Oreochromis niloticus: one gene and its partner. The protein of the gene in region 2 interacts with the protein of the main gene of each other region in a pairwise test. Links are inferred from orthologs where the notes say so. Each region holds a gene or a part of one and is shown on either strand. Other genes may lie near its edges.

What was found.
Region 1: the proteins of poc5 (region 2) and cetn3 interact in binary tests that used the Homo sapiens proteins (3 or more experiments, as listed by UniProt). The link is inferred for Oreochromis niloticus from reciprocal best matches to the Homo sapiens genes POC5 and CETN3.

Annotation. Positions count from the first base shown.
Region 1 is NC_031972.2:8,995,594-9,007,241, reverse strand, and holds cetn3 (centrin-3), read right to left. Parts: upstream 5,740-11,648; 5' UTR 5,582-5,739; coding exon 5,565-5,581; intron 4,359-5,564; coding exon 4,223-4,358; intron 4,018-4,222; coding exon 3,903-4,017; intron 3,783-3,902; coding exon 3,591-3,782; intron 709-3,590; coding exon 665-708; 3' UTR 60-664; downstream 1-59. UniProt on the Homo sapiens protein: Plays a fundamental role in microtubule-organizing center structure and function. As a component of the TREX-2 complex, involved in the export of mRNAs to the cytoplasm through the nuclear pores.
Region 2 is NC_031977.2:16,909,718-16,921,454, reverse strand, and holds the start of poc5 (centrosomal protein POC5), read right to left. Parts: upstream 4,806-11,737; 5' UTR 4,696-4,805; exon of another isoform or gene 4,635-4,695; intron 4,036-4,634; coding exon 3,952-4,035; intron 3,131-3,951; coding exon 2,989-3,130; intron 1,994-2,988; coding exon 1,883-1,993; intron 1,752-1,882; coding exon 1,552-1,751; intron 714-1,551; coding exon 537-713; intron 1-536. UniProt on the Homo sapiens protein: Essential for the assembly of the distal half of centrioles, required for centriole elongation. Acts as a negative regulator of centriole elongation.

The DNA of each region.
Region 1 (11,648 bases), on a different chromosome or scaffold from region 2:
AGGTCCCACAACAGAGACACACTTACCAGCACTCAGAGAAAGTAAAATGGTAAAAATGGTGTGACTTACTGGGAAACCAGTTTATTGTGTCAAAAATAAATAGAACACTTGAACATGCACATGTAAACTGGAAATACAACCATTCAAAATAGCCATTTATGAAATATGTGTGTCCTTTACAATATACAGACACTTCTGATAAAAGCAACAACATTTTACTCCTATTTGTCTCTATTTTCCCCAACAGTAAATTAATGTGTTTATAAAAGAGTGAAAAGATCTTTTTACAGGATCTAATTACAGAAAGGTGCGAAATGGTTGCAAAACACATTACATATTTAACAAAGATGGTATGACATGGGGGAAAAAACCCAACAAAAAAACTCAACAATGATTAGCTCATTTTAAAGACTAGCATGATATTGATACTTTAACTTTCACCTTCAATAAGAAATGAGTTTGGCTGACGTTGAATCTGTCACACAGTTCAGTGCTTTTATGGAATGACTCAAGTACAACCCTCAGGGTCAATGAAACAACTTCTGTCCACCTGCGATGCTTCAGAGGAAGCTGTGCGTCCTTGTTGACAGTCAAGTCGCTTAACTGCTCACAAATTGGACAACCAATCCAACCAAGAAGTCCTCAGCAACAGAGAAATCCCTCATCAGGAGTCCCCGCCCATAATTGCAAGGAACTCCTCCTGGTTTACTGGAAAGGGGGTAAACAAGTCCAGTCAGTCAATGAGAGCACCAAAAACAAAAGAAAAAAGTTTTAAAAATGACAGTTTCAGTTCTCTAAAATACAAAAAACCTTTCGTTTTTGCATGTATGTGTATATATGAATTTCTTGTAATCTTTTTATCTCGTTTATTTAAATTCTTTTATTTTGACTACAGCTTCTCTGTTCAGCCCACTTTGACCTTAAGTGGGCTGGAGCAGTGAAACTCCTCTTTCTGACAGTGTAAACATGTTACATAATTTATGTTCTTTTACATGACAAAGAAACAGCTGCTGTGACAAAGAAAGAAATCTGTCAACAGAGTCTTTGGACTTAAATTGTAAGAAATAAAATTACAGAAAAGGTTCTGGTAGCTGATTGCCCAAATGGTTTTTTGTTTGTTTGTTTTAAACTGTAGTGGTTTAAAAAAAAAAAAAGTGGAACATGCAGACATTTCTATATCTCTGCCATTCAGTTTGAAACCTTTTGTCCCCCTACAATGAAAATGGAAAGGGTATCACTTTAGCCATTTAATCAATTCTGCACTAAGCTTTGCAGTCCACAAAATCACTGAAATGCAGCCAGATGCTGCTTAATTTACATTTTTGCTTGTTTCTTCACATTTTCCTGACATGCAGGCATTTAAATCAAGCACCCCCATCTCTCTGTGCAACCTAGCTTCCAAAGGTAGGAAGTAGTAACAAAGTAAAAAATACTTTATTACTGTGCTTAAGTACAATTTTCAGGTATCTTTGCTCTACTTCAGTATTTATCTTTCCAACTTCTTTTTACTTTTACTCAAAACAGGTTCATTACTTTTGCTTTAATGTATTTGGTTCGAGCTATTTGTGTCAGGTAATTTCAAATGCAAGGTTTCTATCAGTCCAACAAGCACACAAACTATGTGCAGTTTGTCTCACAGTGTGTTGCTAGCTACAGGTCCAGCTGCTGTGTTTCACAGGGAAGAGAAAAGAAAGAGCGCTATCTTTAACTTAAAATCTCATGAAGTCATTATTAAGTAAGTTTAAAGAATGATTGACTCAATAGTGCTTAACAGAACCACAAACAATTTTTTTAGATTTGAGGCTTTCTTTTTCAGAGGAGCTCCAGTAGCCAGAGTCGTACACGGTAAAGATAAAAAACTATTAAGATATGTATTTTTCCCAAACTACTTGACGATAAATATGTTAAAAGAAAATTGTACATAGTGTGATCAGCTACATGAAATGTGCTCTTTTTATGGATCACTAAGTAAACCACATGTCTACGTGACTTTGTACCTAATAACTTTTGTGATGATAAACTTATTTACCAATTAGCAGCTTCCCCTTTTCTGGAACATACAGACTTAGAAAAGGGGAACCTCAGCTCTGAGTTCTTAGAATAACTTTGTTATCTTTGTACACACATAAGCTTGTATAAATAAAGAACGCAGACAGTGATACAGCGCGAGTCTGTGAGTATGAGCGCTCTATGACTGCCCTCGCGAGTAAAAGACAACTGCAGTGTTTGTGTTTTCTAACTCAGGTGTCTCAGCTGAAGAACTGCAGGGTGATTTTTAGAAATCCCTTGTCATTTAAATTGGTCCTTCAAGCTCAGCAATGGAAACAACAGACACGTTTCTGTGACTCCAATCCAAGGTCTGACTGCTGTATCCTGACGTCGTGTCGCCATACGAGCACCTTATAAATGGTGTTCATAGTAGGGCTGCCACGATTAGTTGACGAGTCACGATTACGTCGCCTATCAAAATCGTCGACGACTAATTTAATAGTTGACGCGTCGTTTGAAGCTTTGTAAGATCCCAAAAGACACAGGAATAAGTAGTAGGATTTAAGAGTGCAATAACGGACTGAAACACAAGATGGCAGCACTGCATGAAGAAGGATGCCAGCTGCCGTTAAACTCCGAAGAAGAAGCTGTGTCCCAGAATTCATAGTGCGGCCCTGCTCAGTTTCCAACAATGGCGGCCGCTAGTTAGTTTTAATATTACTCTTATTATTCTTTCTGGGTCACAAAATAAACATTTAACATATTTTCAGGCGAGAATGTAGCTGTGTAAACCTCAAATATCTGCTCAGTTTATCAAGACACCACATATTTTCAAAAGCGCTCCGACGTTTTCGGAGACGTCTGTTACCCACCAGCTCGATAGCTAGCCGGGATTCAAGGCTCATTGAAGCCAGTGAGAGCACCAGATTCCCGGCAAATCGTTTTCAAACATCACCACCGTCTTTCGCTACTCAGGTTAAAAACGATATATAAGTCACTTAGAAAACTTAAAAATGTTATTGTTTGGCTTCTTTTAGTATTTTATTTGTTCCTGAGTAAATCAGTTTGGCTGAGATTAAAGTTATAGTTTTTACACAGCTGAATAAACGTCAAGCAGACAACTGATTATCAGAAGTGTGAGATGGTCGAGAATATACTCCGGTGTCCTGTTATATTTTAGATAGCAAGGAGCAGACGGCTGAGTTTATTAAACTTCACTGAAACAATCTGCAAATTTCACTAAAATTTAATAAACTATCATCTTATCTTTATTTTTAGTTAGTACATACCTTAAACACTTAAAGCTGTAAGCTAATAATAGTTATATAAGAGCAGATGCATGCTAGTGCGTTGTACGTCCAACGGATGCATGATCTGATTAGTCGACTAATCGCAAAAATAATCGGTGACTAATCGACTATCAAAATAATCGTTTGTGGCAGCCCTAGTTCATAGGCCTCTTTTGTACGTACACCAAAACAAACAAAAGTCCTGTTCATCCACTCCTGCTCACTTAAACAAACTGAACGCGTTTCCCTTCTAGGGATTAAATGTATAGCAATAATTGTCAATGTCGAAGAAAAGAGCAAGTGCTGACTTACTTTCACCATCTCCGTCAGTATCGAACTCCTCGATCATGCTGCGGAGCTCTTCATCGCTGATATTCTCCCCAAGTTCCCGAGCCACACGTCTCAGGTTCCTCAAACTGATCTTTCCTGATTCGTCATCATCAAACAGCTTAAAGGCTTTCATGATCTCCTCTTTCGGGTCTCGCTCTAGGATGCGATCAGTCACTGCAGAACCATACATAACATGCATCAGAGTTACTGAAACACTTCAGTTAAAGATGTCAGAGATTTTCTTCCTCTTGGTCCCTGTCTGCACAGGGGCACATGCAGGGAAGGCAAACTTACCAACTTCACTGAAGTCCTCAAATGTTATTTTCCCATTTCCCTCTCTGTCATAATCCTTAAGGATCTTGAGAACATCCACTTTCTTCACTTCAAAGCCGAGTGCACGCATTGCCACCTGTTGACAGTTTGTGACAGTGAGATGTTTCTGTATTCCTACAGCAGCACAGCAGATGTAAACATGTGAGGAAAAACTGCTTTTTGAGTTCATTATGACAGACATATGGCACATATTAACATACTATACACAGCAGATTAAATACCGCTTCACTGGACTATTTTTGGCTGTCAAACTTGTTTTCCTCTCATCATCCAGTGCTCACCTTCAGCTCGTGGTAGTCAATTTCTTTGTCCTTGTCTGTGTCAAACAACTCAAATGCTTCTTTGATTTCATGTTTCTGATCCTCAGTGAGTTCTCTCCTCTTCTTACGCTTTGTTTTGTCTGCCATGAGCTCCGTTCTGGAGAAAGACAGATGCAGCATATGTTACACAAATGTACACAGGTTTCAGCTGCAATCATATTGCAAACTTTTTTCTTTAACTTAAGTGACATATTTATCCGCTGTTACCCCAAATTAAAGCTTCAATACAGAGTATGTTGTACAGCATATGGCAGAACACCACAGCTTTACAGAAGAAGGTAGCAAAGGGCTGACAAAACACACAATAGACAAAGACGCAGGCAGTGCACTCAGTGTTTAGACAACGTACACAGCCTTGTGATCAGTTTTACCCTAACAACTGAGAAAACGAACTTAAAATCTGTAACTATTTACAGACTGAAGTTTACAAGTATCTACACTCTGTGTTTGCAACACAAGCAGAGTGCAGTACATATATCGTTAGCAATGTAACGAAGTATCTACGACCAAATACTTATTCAGTAAAATCTAATTTATCAGCAACTTAACCACATGATAGAGTAATACTCTGACACCTGTTTATCTAAATATCAATAACATTACAAAATAACATAACAAAACAAATTGACTGTAGTATCATTATAACATTAATTGTCAGATACACATAACACTGTGAAGTGTTTGGCTGACAGCTGATACAGCTACTTTCCTCGGTTAGATTTTCTCTGTTTTTGGTCCTTTTCCCCCTTTCTGTGCCAATTCAACACAAGATTCTCCATGTATAATATTTAATATAAGGTTTCCCCCTTACAATTCCACTACACATACACAAAAGTGTATGTGCACTGAATAAAATGTAATCAGCAACAATGTTGGTCAAGAATGCTCATTTGTTTAAGAAAAAAAAGAGAAAAAACGCTCCTTTGTACTGGTACTGATGACTTTCTGCTGTGGCTATGCGGTCGATGCTTACTGAACGTGTACGTCTGTAGTGGATTGGATGAAAGACAAACGATGCACAGGGGTGGCATCTGAACAGTAGTTTTGCAACTAAATGTGGCCTATAGTACAGTGCATTGTAGTCGTCCAAGTCACATTCAGAAAAACAAACAAAAAAAAAAAACAGTAAGCAGCTAACGTCGACTCTACACTGATTAGTAGCTCCAGCTAATTCCTATGCAATATCCCTCCCGAACAAACACAGCAAAGTTAACATGCTAGCGCCTCTTATGTGAAAGAGCTAGCGACTAGCTCTGTGCGCTGGTATGAGGGATGTTGGAATAACTGCGACAAACCGGCTTACCTCAGAGACAGGCTCATTGTGAGGGGATTTAACGGCCCTGAAACAATTACTCTTATTACTGTCACCAAATACAATCTCACCGAGGCCGACACACAACAATTCCGTTTATCCGCGCTCACATTCACATTTCCTATTGGTATCTGGTCATCAGGCAGCAGCAAATTGCTTTCTGATTGGCTAGTGTTCTTCTTCTTCTGCTGCTTTTTTTTTTTTTTTTTTTTTTTTAATATTTCCTCTAGTGCAATCGCAGCGGATCGGAGCAGTATCGCCACCAGCTACACGTGTGCTGTACTGGATAACAATACAGTAGATGTGCACACGTGTATTGCAAATCAATACAAATCATTTAAACTACGAGGATTATAACACGTAAAGGTCCCTAAAATGTAGTAAATATTTAAGTATAATTCTGAACAGTATTCACCATAGAACAAGATCCTGTGAGTATTTTTTAGCGCATTTTATTGTGTGCCAGCTATGTTTAAAACCTATTTTATACGAGGCTGCGACTAATTACTATTTAAATTAATGTTTAAAATTTACTTGACATTATTATTATTATTATTATTATTATTATTATTATTATTATTGTTATTTTAGCAGCAGTAGTAGTAGTAGTAGTATTTCAACTGCTGAACAAAAAGAATATCCTATGTAGGATAAAGTATTTTTAATATTGTTGTGCTGATATTTTCTTGGTAAGTTTATTGATTTTTTTTCTAAGCATTTAGAAAATGATGCTGGACCTTTGCAGTCAATGCAAAAAGAAAATGGAATACCATGAAAAATGTTCATATTTGAAAATCTAGAACCATGAAAATTTTTTCACGTGTTCACATATGTGTATTTTATGTCTCTGGTCTTCCTACTCTAGACCTCCTCCACCTGAATAAAAAAATACATTTTCATTTTATTTATTTCTTCAGCAATCAGTAGTTGTTTTTTCATTTGTTTGTTGTGTCTGTTTTAGTCATTTGTGTCTCTTTGTAATCTTTTCAGATTTTATTGACTTTTTAACAAGAACTCTCAACTTCAAACAGAAACCCTGCAGGAGTCTTTTAAATCTGTAACAATTAATTTTTTAAATTAACATATTTTAAGGTGTTTTGTACACAATTACCTTCATATAAGATAAATGCTGTGCAATGAAAAATCTGTTTCTCTCTGAAATGCAAAGTATGGATTATTGTTTGAGAAGATCACTTCAAGTGTATGTATTTTATACATACACTTTAACGATCTTCAATCTGAATCTTTATTTGTCTGCAGATATCATAGTGTGAACCTGTTGATGAGGTGCAGACATGAGTTTGATATCAGTAGCAGGTGCATCCCCAGCACTTCCTGAATGGGCATCTTTCTCCTGCTAACCAAATGAGCTTCTCTGTTTTCTATCACCTACACTTTCAATTCTAACACTTACAGCTTTCTTTTATAAAAGCCACATATACCCACTGGCACACACATGCATGCAATACTTTATGCTGCTCTAAGTACTTCATAACTATATAGAGGTGGGACTCAAACCTCCAACTTGGCACTCAATCTCCTCTTCTGCCTGAGCCACAGCCACCCCCTAGTACTCCATCATTACTGTATAACTGAGGTATTAATTACCTCAAGGGATGAAAAATGAAGGCAGCGCTTTAAGTGCCAAAACCTACAGTTTCTCTTACAAGACATTAGCTGCATTGCTCTATTATATCTCTATTTAGCAGTGTACAGTGTATACCACTTATGATAAAAACTGCAGTCTTTTCTCTAAATTAGATAAAGACATCTGCTGTCTAAAACTGAGTATTGCAATAATGATGAGAAAGCCTCTCTCTTCACTGAGCCTTTTGTTAGGGCAGCAGAGGGATTATGCTGTGATTAACCTCCAAATGAACATTACTTACACCTTGAAGATATCTCATGCTTATTTCCTCCATCATGTTGTAGCCTGCATTTTCACTGTGGGTTCAAGATTTGCTTTCCTTACCAAAATTTCTATAAAATGCCATAAAAGCTTGCATTAGCAAAAAGTATTTGCATATTTGTTTTGAGGCAAGCAGTTAATATTTCACATACATTAAACCAAACCAAATTAGAAAACTGGTCTACCTTTTTAATAACTTCACTGAGATTGAACTAGGCTTTATTTATTTATTTATTTTTGTCAGCCAAACATGGGAACACTGTGTATAACGGCAACAAATTCATCTCATTAAGAGTGTTAGAGCTGAATTGAGACACACACCTGGGGACATCCACTGAGTCTGTTTCTTGTAGAACTGAGTTCAACTTAAACAGTCAGCTGTGGAACAGCAGACAGAGGCTTCTTGTGCTGCTTATGTGAGCCACCTCTGTCTTCAGCAATAGAGAAACACCTATGAAACAAAACATACCAATGCTTGCTATGCTTCCCATCAGTTATTTTGCACTGCTCAAATATATTACACACAGTGTCCACTATATTAGGAATGGCTCCTTACTTTCAGAAAGACTCAGTTCTGTATTAAAGGTGAACCTTCTTTGATAATCTGCTAACATATGCTAGCATGTCATTGCATCACATCAGTTAAGCAGATCTTTAAGCGCTTCCCAAAGGTGTTCTGTGAGACTGAGACCTAATGAATGGGGAGGCCAATGAACTAAACACAGAGTTTACTCCATACAAAATTACCCCATACAACCCAACTTGAAAAATGTAATCGACACAGTCCCTCTAAGAGATACTATCTGCGCGAAAGGTAATAAGTATCCGCCTATCATGTTTTCCAGGATGTTAATTCATGCTTTTCTGCCAAAGACACTGCTCATTTCTGTGCAAGGTGTCTTTTGGCAGTGATCTCTGACACGCTGAGTTATGGGATTGCTGTGAGGAGCGTATGATCTTTTGGCATGCAGGGAACGTCCATGAAACCAAAACACTATCTTTCCCTAAACCTAACCAAGTAGTTCTCAGAACATTAACCTAAAAACATAGTGTTTATTGACTAACTCTAACAAACTAGTTTCAAGTTTCTAAACTTAAAAAGCAAAACAAACAAGACACACACTCTCCTGACTGATAAGTCTGGAAAGTATGTATAATCAGTAAAATGATCAAACATTAGGAAAAACTCTTGATAGGGAGCTTTTGTGAGATGATCTCTGTCATTTATCTCATCACAAGTGTTTCAGATATTTTAGTCACAGCCAGATAGTTCCAAAAACATGCATCCTCCATTATCTGCTGGTTCTAAATTTGCAATAGATGAAGCAAGGTGTTTAAATACTTAAGCACATATAATAAAAGCTGTATGAGTAGGTGAATGTCGTTTATTGTATAGAGTGCTTGGGGTTCATTCATTGACAATTCTTCTGAATGCAGACATTTCAGATAAAATGTTTCTAGATTTGCTTATCTTTCCAGTCCATATGAATGTTGTCTCTTCAAAGACTTTCTTTACCACTGTCATGAACTTCCTACAGATAGTTCTCACCGGCAGTGACAGCACTGTGTGAAGTAGGTGCCACTGGGTCTCTGGTTATCTCCAAGTGAGTCTCCTGTTTCACATGTGTATGCTGAGATAGAAGCTGGAAGGAAAGCACTCACTCACCCAGGAAAGAAAGTGGATCTCTGTTCCTCAAAGTCTCTTCTTAACTTGATAATGTCCTGATGTCCAACCAGGCGTAAACGGTTCTTGTAAATCTACCTAGAGAGGCTTCATTCCCTTTTGCACGAGCAAAATGACAGAAATGACAAACGGCTCATAACCAAACTACACCCTGCTGCGGTGAATGGGCTCCCTCGAGTGCAGTAAAGCATCATACTGAAGAAGAGATGGGTGCGACTGTTCCTGCACAGATGTTCCATCGGTTTGAACATGGTGAGATTAAATGACCAGTAATTATTTGTTGAGTTTAAAGATGTGTTTGATTCAGATAATTGAAAATAGATTGTCGTTATGTATTGTCATTTTAAGAGAACTCTGAAGGTTTATTGTTTTATGAGATTTATGTTCATCGTCATAGAAATTTGTGGCTTGGTCTTTAATTTGTAGACACTGCAGCTTTCAAAAATGATATTCAAATCTAGAAATAGTTTCAGCATTACAGTGGAAAACCCAGAGTTCACTGTTAGGCTTTCAATTGGGCTGTTGCTGCAAAATATTGTTTCACAAACATAACAGATGGACTAAGCAGACCAAATGAATTACAGTCTTAAAAGTCAAAACGCATGAACACATGATCAGCTACAAACACAAAGGACATGTAGTTGTTCTTATTTTACTGCTTTTAATAGTATTTGGAGGGAAAAAAATCCCGGGCTGTTTACCCGAGAATTCTGGAAAATTTTGCCTTGCCATGACTATTCCAATATCCTCCTCTGCATGTCCTCCATAAATCTTCTCCTCTTGGTAATGTCTGGAAAAACAAATACCTACAGCATATGAGAGAAATTGGCCAAAGGATGGGTCATTGGCATCGTTCACTGGTTTATGTACTTCTGAAAACTGAAGCGTGGCATTTTTAGATTAGCTGCCTCTTTTGTTTGTTTTTTTAACTTGACCTTACAGACAAGGGTTGGATCTAACAGTTTTATTTATGGAAAATTCTTGGGCTCCTTCCTGTGATGTTGTAAGCTAAGGTCTTGAGTTTGTAATGTGAAAACATGCTAACAAAGTAGCACCTCGTCAGTCACTGTCATCATAGCAGGCAGTGGCAAGCAGAGGTAGGATGCAAACACAGCACTCAGAAGCAAAGCAGTAACTAAGAGAGTCAGATTTATTTGCTGTAACTGCTAGACTAAAAAGAAATACAAAAGTACAAAATTCCAAATATGAGAAATTGGGAATGAGGAAAAATTGATAGAAAGCACTGAACACATGGAAACACACAGCAAATGGGAACAACATGACAAGGAACAGAGGGAGACAGAAGACATAAAAATACACAGGAGGTAATTATCTCCTGTAATTATTGTCTGTCGTTAATCTGACTAACAACAGGGGAAGCAAAACTGAGTATAACGCTAACAGGACGAAAGACTATCAAAATAAAACAGGAAGCTAAAAGCCTGAGACTACACACATAAACTTGACAGAAAAAAATAAACATAACCCAACCTAAGCAAAGGTCACTTTTAAACTGAAAACTACAACAAATTCAAACGGAATATATGAAACAGAAAACAGTGGGTACAAAAGCAAGGATCATGACAGACATGCCTTAAAGCACACCTCTAGTCATTCATTCTACTCTTAATGGACACATGTTTTACATAAGGGCCATGCATTTTGAAGAAGACTTGAAACTAGCAACTGGGAGTATTAATCCCCATTTAATTAGTGGTTAGGATTGTTGCTTGTTACTGAACCTATGGTGGGTTCTAGTATGTTAACTCTGGATGTTTTCCCGGTGGTTGCACTAGTTATCTCGATGGGTCTTCACAAAAGAGAGTCTAAATCTCAAGACTTGGACTTGTCAAATGAAGGTGAGTACAATCAGTGATGTGTTATAGTTTTGTCAGGAGGAGGAAGCCCAGTAAAAAAAATAACCAGTAGCGCTGTACTGCATTTGACTGTAGCTATTTGTGTGTCAGACCTCCATGCCTCAGACCAAGCTTGTATTTCATACCCCCTCTCCATGCTTGAACCCAGTTCTTTAGGTCTAATAAAACAAGCACATTCAGGATCAGCAGGCTGCACAGAGGTGGCTTTCTCAAGAAGCCACATGTGAGCGTGAGCTTGAAGCACATGCTATGTAAACAGACCAGCAAACGGTCAGCCTGTGCATGTATGTAGGTGTGTGTGTCTGACTTTGACTGAGGTAGGCTAATGGAGACATCAGTGGCAGGTTAGAGAGCTGGACTCAGAAAGGAGTGCTTGTTTCTACTCGGACAGAGTTTGATTCACATTTTTCAGAAGCTTAACTCTGGTTAAAGGAGCTTTGTTGATACTCAGATAACTGAGTCTGAGGCTTGAATTTACACAACCCTGGGCTATTTCAGTGTACAGTGTACTGTATTACTTTTTCAGCAGACCTTTATAAATTTAGTAATATTTATAATTACTTATAGCAGTCAAACTTTAACTTTTGATAAAATTCAAGTTTAAG
Region 2 (11,737 bases):
CCATTCGCACCAGAACCTCTCGCCATAAGAACAGTTTCTTCCCCTCTGCTGTTGGACTCATGAACAATAACCATATGACTGTTCCCACCACTAACACATGACCCTACACTGTGTTCACTGCATCATTCCATGTTTGGCACTGATCACCACCTGCACTCATGTATATATCTATCTACTTAGCACTTTTAATTCTTATTTTTATGTCTATTTAAGCGTTATATGACAGTATGTTTGCACTAAGTACCGCAGCAATTTCCTAATGTGTAAACCTGCTCAACATTTGGCAATAAAACCCTTTCTGATTCTGATTCTTTGTGGAGACAAGGGTGAGACATTAGTTGATGTCAGCTTGGAGTCCATGATTTTGTAATGGGTGTTTTTACAATTTTCTCGTGTTTTATTGACGAAAAACAAGACACCCCCCCTCGCCAAAAAAAACAGGTGATTAAATAAATGACATATTATTCTGCAAATTACCAGATAACAAACATCTAAATGATTTACTAGATAAAGCAAATAAATAGACATGTAGTCACCTCATCTTTCCTTTGGTTGGAGGTTTCGTAGGTTTGTAACAGCTGTTTAAGGCTATCTAGCTCTGACTTCAGGCCAGCTGTCTGGGCTGCATGCCTCTCCCTCTCCTTCATCATCTCCAGCTTGTGTTGCTCAATGAAGGCCAACTTCCACTTCCGTAGCTCCGTCAGCACATTTGACTAATTAGGGAATAGAAGTTAGGGCTGTCACAATGTGTTCATTACTCTACTTTAGCAAACATGGGCATCTGTACACATATCTGTAGTCATTTTTAAATTACATGAACAGGTGTGCCAGACAGATGCAACTGCAAACACAGAAATCTTTGAGAATTCATCTCTAAGTTTTCTTTTGCTGGACTCAGTTCTTGAAACATCTGAAGTCCATCAAGCTTAAGCCAGATTTATGCTACTGCACAGAGTGTAAGAGTTTTCCACCAGAGATGTCTTATTTTACAGTTCTGATGTGTAGTTCCAGGTTTAGAAGAACTTTCAAACCCCTCCCTCAACACACGAGTGTACTATTTAACCCACATCTCATCTCATTCTGGCTGGTACTGCTTTTTTCCTAGATTAAGCTCTGCACAGCTTAGCAGGTGATTGGCTGTCATCTGCTCTCCATGAATGAGCTGTACAAAATCAGAGGAAAAGGGCAGGATGGACACCCACATGGAGACACCCATTTCCTTTAGAATAATGTCTCCAGGAAACACAGTTAAAAGGTCAACGGTTCCATGAAGAGCAGCGAGGTGTCATCCTTTTCAAAAAGTCATCCTGAGGCTCAGATACATTCCCTCTATATAATCTCTAATCTGACCACAGGCACAGTATAACTTTCTAATGACAATGGCAGAGAAAGAAGAGTGTGAAAAATATCATTATGATCAAAAATGCCAGAAACAGCACAATTAAATTTTCTCTGTCTGTGCATAAATGCTGTTTACAGCTATGTAAAAGCCCACAGGAGAAACCGAGTGGCTGTGAAGGACAGCTGTACACTGTGTGGAAGCAGACTAACCTTCAGGTTGTTGCTCCACGTGTCCAGAATGTTCTCCATCTTGTTTATATTCTCCTCTGAAATAAACATCTCTGTCACAACAAACTCAAAGGGTTCTGGGGTATCTGGCCTCGACCTCTCAGATGCCACAGGTAACCTCTCTGAGGGATTGTCTGAGAGCAGTGACACCCTGCTAGACGAATGACCTGCCATCTTCTCAGCTGGAGGGGGGGGGGAGCACAAATGCAGACAGACAGGCAGACTATGGCTGAGAATATGAAACAGTATTGTGACAGTTACACATAATACATAATAAGCATTTTGTTTCTCTGAAATTTTACAATTATTTTACCATGAGAGGCTCTTGAGTGTGTCGAGTGTGGCTCAACAATCAAGGGGGAGGCCTGTGACGATCTCAGGCTCCTGCTAGAGTGCCTCCCATCCTTAGCTTCAATGGCAGAATCTGGAAGAAGATGCAGGAGTTACAGTGAGCAGGCAGAGGAATAGATACATGTGGCCAAAGATAGATTAAAATGGTTGATTAAAAAAATTTAAATCCAAAAAAGTCAGAAAACAAAAAACAGCTTAAGAGCAGAAAATGTGAAGGTGAGAGTGGTAAATAAGATGAGTGTGGCTCCTTGTCCAAGAAAGCATTTATGTCAATATCTTAATTAAATTCTGCAGGGAGAGAGAAGAGAAAGCCTGCACTCTAAAGAGCAGTACGGGCAGAGTGCCAGGAGATCATTACCAATTGGCCCGTCTGCTTTCTACATCCTCGTGCACTACTCCATGACAGTTAAAGCACTAAACCTCAGATGAGAGTCGCAACAGGGGAGGAAACTGATGGAGTGTTTAAGATGTGGGTATTGCAGGGGAAAGAGATAGGGGGTACAATGTGACAGACTGATATCTAGCCTTTTACACTGGTTTAAAAGATGAAAATATACACACACACACACACACACACACACCACATTTTCTCCATATTTTTGATGCCAAATCCTTTCTGACAGACGATCATTTGATGCAGACAGTGTCTGGAAGGGCTCACATTCAGTTTCTGTCAGCCAGTCCTGGTGAACTGTGTGTCTGAAAGTCTAGAGAGCTTGAAGAAAAAAAAACAAAGCAAGTGTACTTCTTCAAGTATGTGAGGATGTTTCATCTCTCTCCCAAGAGGCTTCTACAATTCTTAAAAAACAAACAAACAAACAAACAAACAAACAAAAAACGGGCAGCCACCAGTGTTACCCCTCAGTCTCAAAAGTTCTGTCCCTGGGATAAACCAGTTTTTTCCAAAACCTTTGCTCTTGGATCAGAAGGGAAACATCTTTACGACCTTAAAGAAGTTTTGTTGCCTCTTTTTCTAAGCTCTCTAGACTAACATGACCTAGGTGACTGTGAACCTACACACACATGTGTATGAAAGTGTTCTTCATATACAGGAGGAAGCCAACATACCTGGTACATGTTGAAACTTTGTGCCATCTTTATTTCCACCCGCTGCAGACAGATGCGAGGTGCTCCGCTGCTTCAACTGAACGCCAAGCGTGTCAAATTTAGGGGTGATAACAGCATAACGGAGGAGCTCCTCATACTCATCCTGTTAATTGATAAACAATAACAAAGAACAAGGTGGTCAAATATCAATTGAAGCACGTTACAGTTTGTATTTTTCTGTGTATTGTTTCAAGTCTGTTTATTTTGGTTACAACATTTTAGTGTAACTCTTCAATTTTGACACCTAGTGATGCTAAGACCATGTTATGTAAAGCTTTGCTCAACCTAACAGAGTCCATGGACTTGGACTCCTTTGGACTTAACTGCTTTCACACTTAAAAAGGTTCCAGTTCAAGCAACCTGATATCACACACAATTTTGGTTGGCAGACTAATTCAAACTGTGTAAAATGTTGAATTTAATATCCAAACTTTTTCAGAGCAGCTTCTAGACAATCTGTCCTTTTATCATTTAACACAAAAACAAAATAGATGTGCATTTCCTTTTAATACATAATAGATTGATTTAATTTTTACATCCAATTAAAGGATTTGGACAGACTGAAATTGGGTCTAGTAAAACGTATTGACTGTCCAGTAGCTTTAACCAACGTCACAATGATGTGTAACATAATGCTGCTGATCTGAAATGTATGGAAGCTTGTTTCCTCACCATTTTTTTTTTTTTTGCTGTCCTTAAATCAAAATTTACTATCTTACAATTCCTACTTACCAACTCAAAATTTAGAGTTGTTTATCACGAAATTTCCACTTACTGAGAAGTAAAGTGAAATTTCAAGACAGTAACTCAAAAAACTTGAGATAACTAGAAACTTTGAGTTATCTATGCCTGGCTATTTTTGTTTTCCAGTGGTGGAAACATGGTTCCATAGAATTATGAGTGTAAATAAAAGCACATGTTCACCTGAAGCTCAGAGGACACGGAGCTGCCCCGGTCCGAGTCTTTGGGGAGAACAGGACTAGTTGGTTCCTCTTCGTCTGAGGACATCTAAATACAGAGATATAAAGTGTCATTATGCTAGTTTAATAACACAGCATGAGCGATCAATACCTGGCCATAGGGACGGGACCTACTTTGGTATGTTACTATATAGTATTGATTTTAATTTCAGCTATGGCCACCACCGTAATCTTTGGCAGCTATTGATAGTCGTTGGTACTCTTTTGCTTCCCACCTACCTACTCATGTTTTGCAAACCGTACATGGACATAAAACATGTTTGGGTGCGTTTGATTTATAAAAGAAACTTTAATACTTATTTCAAGCCACAGCTGAAGCCTTCTGTTTAACTTTCTTTAGCACAAACGCTAGTTTCTACACTACAAACTAATGAAGGTACACACAGAGTAAACAGAAAACATCCTCATGCACAAAGAAATCCACGAATATGCTTATCTGTACGCTTAAAAAAATCTTACACTTTTCTATATTTTACTCATTTACAAGCGCATTAATTGATCGAGTTAAACAAACATTGTTAGCTAAATAAATCAGAGCTAAAGCTAAAACAGAAATGGAGAAGTGAACACAATAAATACAGCTGAACATAAAAAAAAAACTAAACTACTTGAAGCGAGTATATCTACCTCTGTAAGTAGCACCACTTTTCGGAAACTCGTAACTATTTTATATAACCATAAAAAGTACCACGCTTGCCCGTTTCACAAGTCGTCAGTTGAAAGGTGCTTGCTTTGCCGTTTCAAACAGCCTGGCTCTTAAACAACAGACTCTCTGATTGGCTACTGTTTCTAACTGGCCCTACTATCTCGCCTCTGATTGGTTAAACTATTCCCATGGCAACGATAAGCGGAACGAAGCTGCTACTCTTGTGTTTTAAATATGAAAGGTGTGCAAAACCTTTTACTGTGATTTTGGAAAATATTTTTTATTTACTTCACACTTATTTTAGCCTCCAGTGTCACAGTGCTGTAAGTATCAGGATTTTAAACTAAAGGAATCATGGTGATAGAGGCAAATAGGACCTCTTCTTTTATAACAGGTTGAAAATTAATACTTGAAAGACCTACTTTAATTGCCCCTAGAAAGTTTCGGGTTTGCTTACTTTGCTAAAGTTACATGATTGGCTCATTTAAAGAGCAACATGGTTTCCATATTGTGTTTCAAATGCAGTCTGATGTTATCTAAGATTATATGATTAAGTTCATTTTCATGAAGAAGTAAACTCACCTGTCTTAGGAAGGTGTAGGTCCTTGGGGAATACCACCAGCCAGTGAACCTCCCTGTGGTCATTTCTCTATTGTTCATGAGCCCAAATGTGGATACAGACAAGGGTTCACAATCTGAATTGCAGCAGTGCCTTAACCACTTGAGGACTTATTAGTACTTAACAGTATTATGGCACATATGTGGGATAGGCCTTAACGGCTTGGCAATAGTAGCCTGGGACGGACTCCTGAGAGAGGAGACATATGGTACCTCTCAGCCATGGCAGAGCTGAAAGCAGCACTGTTGGACTAGAGCCTCCTCACCAGCTGGCTGAGAGTACTTCACTGTCCGAAGGTGTCCAGTCAGCATTGTTATAAGACCTGCAGGCTGACATTAAAAAAAAGAAAAAAAAGAAAAGAAGTAGTGACATTGGTAACAGCACAGCAATCTTCCCCTAAAACAACAGACTGAGAGGACTCGCACCGTTTTGGATGTAATACATTTTCAAATCAAATATTTTGTACTTACTGAAAGCAAGACCTGGCACAGGCAACCCTCAGCACACACAGACACACACATTTTATTACATGTCTTGACAGCTGACGCAGGCTGTGAATTTGAACCAGAACTGTGAGGCGCAGAGGATAATCCTAGCTGCTCGGCGGGGAGTGGAGGTTTCCTGTTGAATGACAGGAAGCTGTAACTCCCCACAGATTACTTATTTCCATTTCGGAGCAGATGATTCACATGTTTTGAAAGGTTTCAGTGATGCATTCATCGCAGTTTCTCTTTTGAGGTGATTTTTTTTTTGTCATTCCAGCATGGTGTTGTTTTGCTTCTCTGGTTTTCTGTCATGCTGTGGTATATTCCTAATTTTCTGCACTTGTCTTTCTCTGTAGGAAAGTTAAAATGACAAGGACTGGCTAAGACTAGACCATGACAGGATTTGCATATAAAAAGCAAAAAAAAAGAAAGACAGGAAAAAAAGCAAGGAGTTTTAGACCCTTGTGCCATCTTTTTGCAATACACAATACAACACATGGCAGACAACTGTAGATGTGTTTAATACTGCCCAGGCTCTTCTTGTCTGCTACACGATTTCTTTGCCTTGAATGCCCGTAAATTGCATCTTGCATAAGATTAAATAAAGTTAAGTGTAAGTCTGACATCTAAATTAATCTAACTAACACAGAGCAACAGTTAAAATGTAGGCAAATTATTTGAAACCATCTCCATTCTTTGCAAAATGTTTTTCTTTTGCTGCAGAAAAAAAGGTGATAAACTACTGTTGATAAATGGTTAGATTACACCCGGTATTACCACCTCAATGCTTTCTTTAGATCCCTTTTGTGAATTTCACCTTCCTCTCAGTAAAAGAAATGCACCTGGGCTTGTGTGTTGAAATGGGATTCAGCTCACATTCTTCTCCCACAGCCTGTTCAATCTGTTCCAGGACAATAATCACAATCCATTTGACTTTCTTCCCTCTGGTATTTTAGCTCAGCTACGTTAGACTATCCAGGACCTTGCAAAGGTAGACAGAAAAGAAATGAGAAAATAATGTTTTGAGCTTTTGCATGTTTACCTTGTTACCAAGCCTTTCCTTGCTCAACTTTTATTTTTTTCCCCCAGAGAATTTAAATTTAAAAGATTGCAGAAATGTATGGCATTACAGCCCCTTTCTTTTGTCCAGCATGCATCATTTCATCTGTTGCATCTGATGGTGGAACGGTGGATTACAAACTTGGTGTAAAATTGTTTCTGCCCTTGATCGATTTTCAGTCAGACGTACTTACAGACAGCCATAACTCCTGAAGACAACAACTAATGTTCTATCATCAATCGTAATGTTATCAACCAATTTTTCTCTTATATGAGACAATAATGACCTCTCACTGAAGACAATGTTACCAGAACTCATCTTAGAGTTATTCATCGCTGCCTGCTGTTTTCAAATTAGTTTTCATTACATGTTGATGGACCAGGACTTCCCCCTTGGGGCACTCTAATCCATCACATCTCTCTATCAATGACATCCGTGTCTTTTTGTTTTGCTCTCTAGGTAGCAAATTCACCGGCACTTCTAAACACATACCAGCACACAGATGAGACACAACAAGGCAGCAGATTTTCTTATATCACATTCGAAACGTATCCCTGCAGTATGACTAAAGCTGAATCTAGTATAAAGTGGTCAGCAGTATGAATGTAGATGAGCAGTGTAGGTGGACGGAAAAAGATGGAGGCTAAATCAGTTAACCAGGGCTTCTATCTCCACAAGACATAAGCAATTACCATCAGTGTCCACATCTGTTATAATCTGGATGAAGATAAGCAGCAGACAGTTGTTCCAGTGTAATTTATCAAGGAAAGCTGATGCAGCAGGTACAACATCCATATATCAGACTTATATATAGGACAATATAACTGGCTCATCTTGCTTGGCAAATAAAAAGTTGCTGGTTCAATTCTACAAATTCCCATTGAGCCTGAGTTAGGAAGAACATCTAGTGTAAAATTCAACTTACAGAGTGACCCCTTGTGGCAAGGGAGCAGCTGGAAGTAGCTTTTTGATGCTGTCCTCTCATAGATTTAGCTGAGTAAATTTTTTTAACAGAACTAATGAGTACGTAATTTCACAGTAGTGTCATCCCATAGTTTTTCAAACCGTCTCAGCATCTCGGTCTGCAGCACATGTAGCAGAGCAGCATTACAGCTGAGGAGGTGGAGTCAGCCTGTGTGTCCTTGTTAAGTAGTCACTAAACAATGACCCTGTTGTTTTACCTTCCCTTCTTTGTGTGACTTCTCTCCAGGTAGTCCAGCTTCCTCCCACAGTCCAAGAACATGCTTGCTAATTGGTGGTTCTAAATTGACTCTAGCTATGAACATGAGTATGAATGCGTTTCTGCCTCCTTGTGTTAGTCCTGTGATGGATAGACCTGTCTAAGTCACCCGGCTCTTACCCAGTAACAGCTGGGATAGGCTCCAGCCCCCCTCATGTTCCTGAATTGGGCAAGCAGAAAATGAATGGATGGATGAAGTTCATAACTTAGTGTTGGGTGTTTTTACCAAAAATTTGTCAATATCAGTGTGGCCAGTCAAGAACCCATTGCTTAGTCAAGCTAGGTATGGCAATGACCATGTTTTTGGGGCGGCCTCCTGTTTCAATTGGTAGTCATTGTTAATGCAGATTATTTATGAAACCTAATAAAATGTCAGCGTTTGACACACTCATTTCAGCAAATGTAAGCCCTCTATTGTTGTCCACACACACTGTTTACCTTCCTGCAACGAAAGCCTGATCAAACGTGATTGGTCAGTGGAAATCAGACTACAAGCAGAGTGGTACAAAAATCCCTTACCTTGCCTATAGACTCTGCATACAGGCCAGGCAAAGGCAAGACAAAGTCCAACACTGGCACTATTCTAATAACCACCACGAATAGTAGGCTGTATTTACATGTAGCATGGTATTGCATTAAATTCACATCTATTGTTTGTACATGTAAGTGTCCAAAGCTAAGGGAAAACCTCCTCTTTATCATGCTTTCTGTAATAAAAGATACTGCAATCCATGAGGATCTGCATGTGTGTGTGTGTGTGTGTGTGTGTGTGTGTGTGTGTGTGTGTGTGTGTGTGTGTGTGTGTGTGTTTGTGTGTGCCATTCTACTGTCCCGTACATTAAGCTAAGTGCTCCTCAGCTCTACAGCAGTGGTAAATGGAGTCTTATGGCTCGGGGCTTGGAGGGGGCTTCTCAAGTCCAAATCAAAAGCAGAGAGTGTCCCAAACCCCAGGTCACTGCTTCCGTGAATCATCAAGTTCAGAGGAAAAGGATAGAGGCTTTTCTTTTTATTTGTGTGTCTGAGCGTGTGTGTATGTGTTTCCCTTCACGTTTTTGTGTTGTGCATGTTTCAGTGCACAGTGTGTGGATCATTTAAAATCTTACTCTCTGTCATTTGTCCTGAACATGATGCATAGCCAGCGTTACAAGCATGTCATGGTGCACAACTAGCCTGCCCTATTCACTGCACGTCCTTCCTATTAACACGATGATTTTTTTAAAAAAGTTTTTGAATAATGAAAGTAAAGAATTAGATGCACTGGATATAACACATCAAAGAGCTTGCTTGTACATATTTTCTGCAGTGGACAGTGTTCTGGTGTCTCACTGGTTTTGCTGGTATAATTTGCAGCTGTAAACGATGTGAATACTGAAAAGCTGAATGTCCCTGTGCTTGCATCACTCTGTATTTTCCTTCTTTCCCCCCTTCCCTCACTTTCTCCAGGAGTCACTTGCGGGTAGTATCTGACATAGCAGCGCACTGTCAGTTGCTGTATCATGCTTAATCTAAAGAGCCTGGGTATCTCTTAACAGCCTGTGATCGGTTATGTAATTATTATAACGGGACTGCACACCCTTTGTGTGGTGTTCATCAATACTATTAGTCCCTCTGTGGTCTTTAGTGAGATGGAAGAAATTAGCATTTCTCTTGCTTAAACTGCATTGGGAATTCAAAGGCTTTACTTACTGCTCAGGTTACTTTACACTGTCAAATTAAGCTTAGCAGCTTGTAAATGAAGTAAAAACCAGCTATGGGATGCTGAAATGAAAAAAATGTGAAACCTGATTTTTAAGCAAAATTGTGTAAAGCAGTTAAGAGTGTATTTAGATATGGGATCGATATTAAAGTGTGAAACCCTTTTCCCATTTGTGTTGTCTTTTCCAGAGTAACCTGTTAATGAAGCATTAGTTTGACAGAGACTGTAACAGAACAAGAGAGGCAATCAGAAATTTTGCCCTGCACTAGTATGAGTATCTCTGGCTCCCGGTGCATGGCTGCAGGTGATCAGATTTCAGTGTTGTATCATGTGTCCGCTGAGTTCATTATGCTGGAGTTGTGCCTCTGCACTCCTTTAAGGAACTTCAGTCTTACAGGAAAACACAGTACTCCTGGCAACTGAAAATTTGTTGCAAATAACATGGGATTTATCTGCTGTGCTCTTATTGGTGATTATCAGGAAAGCATGAAGATTTGGTAAGGTACCCTTAAGGAATCCACACCCACAGGGGAATCACTTTGATCAGATCCCCTGACCCCATCATTGTTGTCCTATTAGTGATCCAAGTGAAGACTGGTCAAGAGCTGAAAATCATTTTTACACAATACAGCTTTTGTGACAGCACTTCTTTTTATTTTAATGCACTTTATTTTGTAAGGTAAAGTTCATGGTTTGAAGTTCATTTATGATTCTCTCCCTTGCCTGATTAAATCCACTGGGAAATCAAATTGGGTAAGATAATATAGTGAGAGTTGATGCCAGTAAGACAACAGTGTGTTAGTGCAATAAAAAGGGTTGAATAAAAAAAATGTATTGGTGATGTGGACTGTGTGCGTATTTGTGTGTCTGTTTGGCTTCATTCTCAGTGCCATTTGTTTGTTGATCTGGCAAATATACATATAAACTACTTCACTAAAATTCATGAAACCTGGTGGAGAGGTGGGGTATTGGACAAGCATTAAGTTAATTATGGTTCAGATCTGTTAAAACTGACAGACAAGCCTCTAGCAGGGGTCTCCAGTACTCCGGCTGTATGTGTGAGATGCTGAATTGCCTCCCAACAAGAATAACCAGTACGTTCCCAACATTTGTAGAACTTCAGATTATTATATTGTTAATCTATGTTATTATTTAGTGGGCGCTGATTGTTTTCCCTCATAATATCACAAACATCAACTTGACAGTTTAAAAACAAATATGAATATATCATTTCTGACAAGTGTAGGGACGTGGAGGAGTGTTAATCTCAGGGTGTGCAGTTAAGTGTAGTAATGTGGACTGTTGTTTTGGTTTGTGAATTGCCTCTACTGGATGCAGACTATTGTATGTTTATGTATGCATATGAGTACTGATAACTATCAAACAGCATAAAAAGTGTAGGATTGAACACCCCCCCGATACTTCGTGTTTACAATGCACTTTTTTGCAGTCAATCATAATTTTGCACTACTTGTACTGACTATATAAACTACAGATTTTCTTCCACAGCTTCCGCATGCCCTGAAAGCGACAGGCTATAAAAGTACTTCAGCAACGATGTTTGCTAATAACTTTCAGAGCGATGTCAGTGGCTCACAGAACGACTGTGCATGCAACATATCGAGCATTTTCTGAGAAGTTATCTGAGGTAAACTGGGCGCGGAGGAGTTGGTCGGTCAGCACCACGGACAGAGGCGAGATTTCGTTAAAATGCGTTGTGCGGCTTCAGGATCCACTCTGCATAACCAAGGTGAGCTCCCAGACAGCTCCACTTTTAAGAAAATGGTTACGGTTGACTCTAAGAACAGACGGAGGGGAGCTGAGTTGCAAGAATCTCTGCTGTTCACAGAATTTAGATGTCGGGATATTTTTGCAACTTGTCTTTCGAAAGAAGTGGAAAACTTTTCCCTTAAACATATCTTTTCGGCTCAAATGGGCAGGCGTCAACTCCCACAAGTCCTACAGTCTGTGTCTTGTAACTATC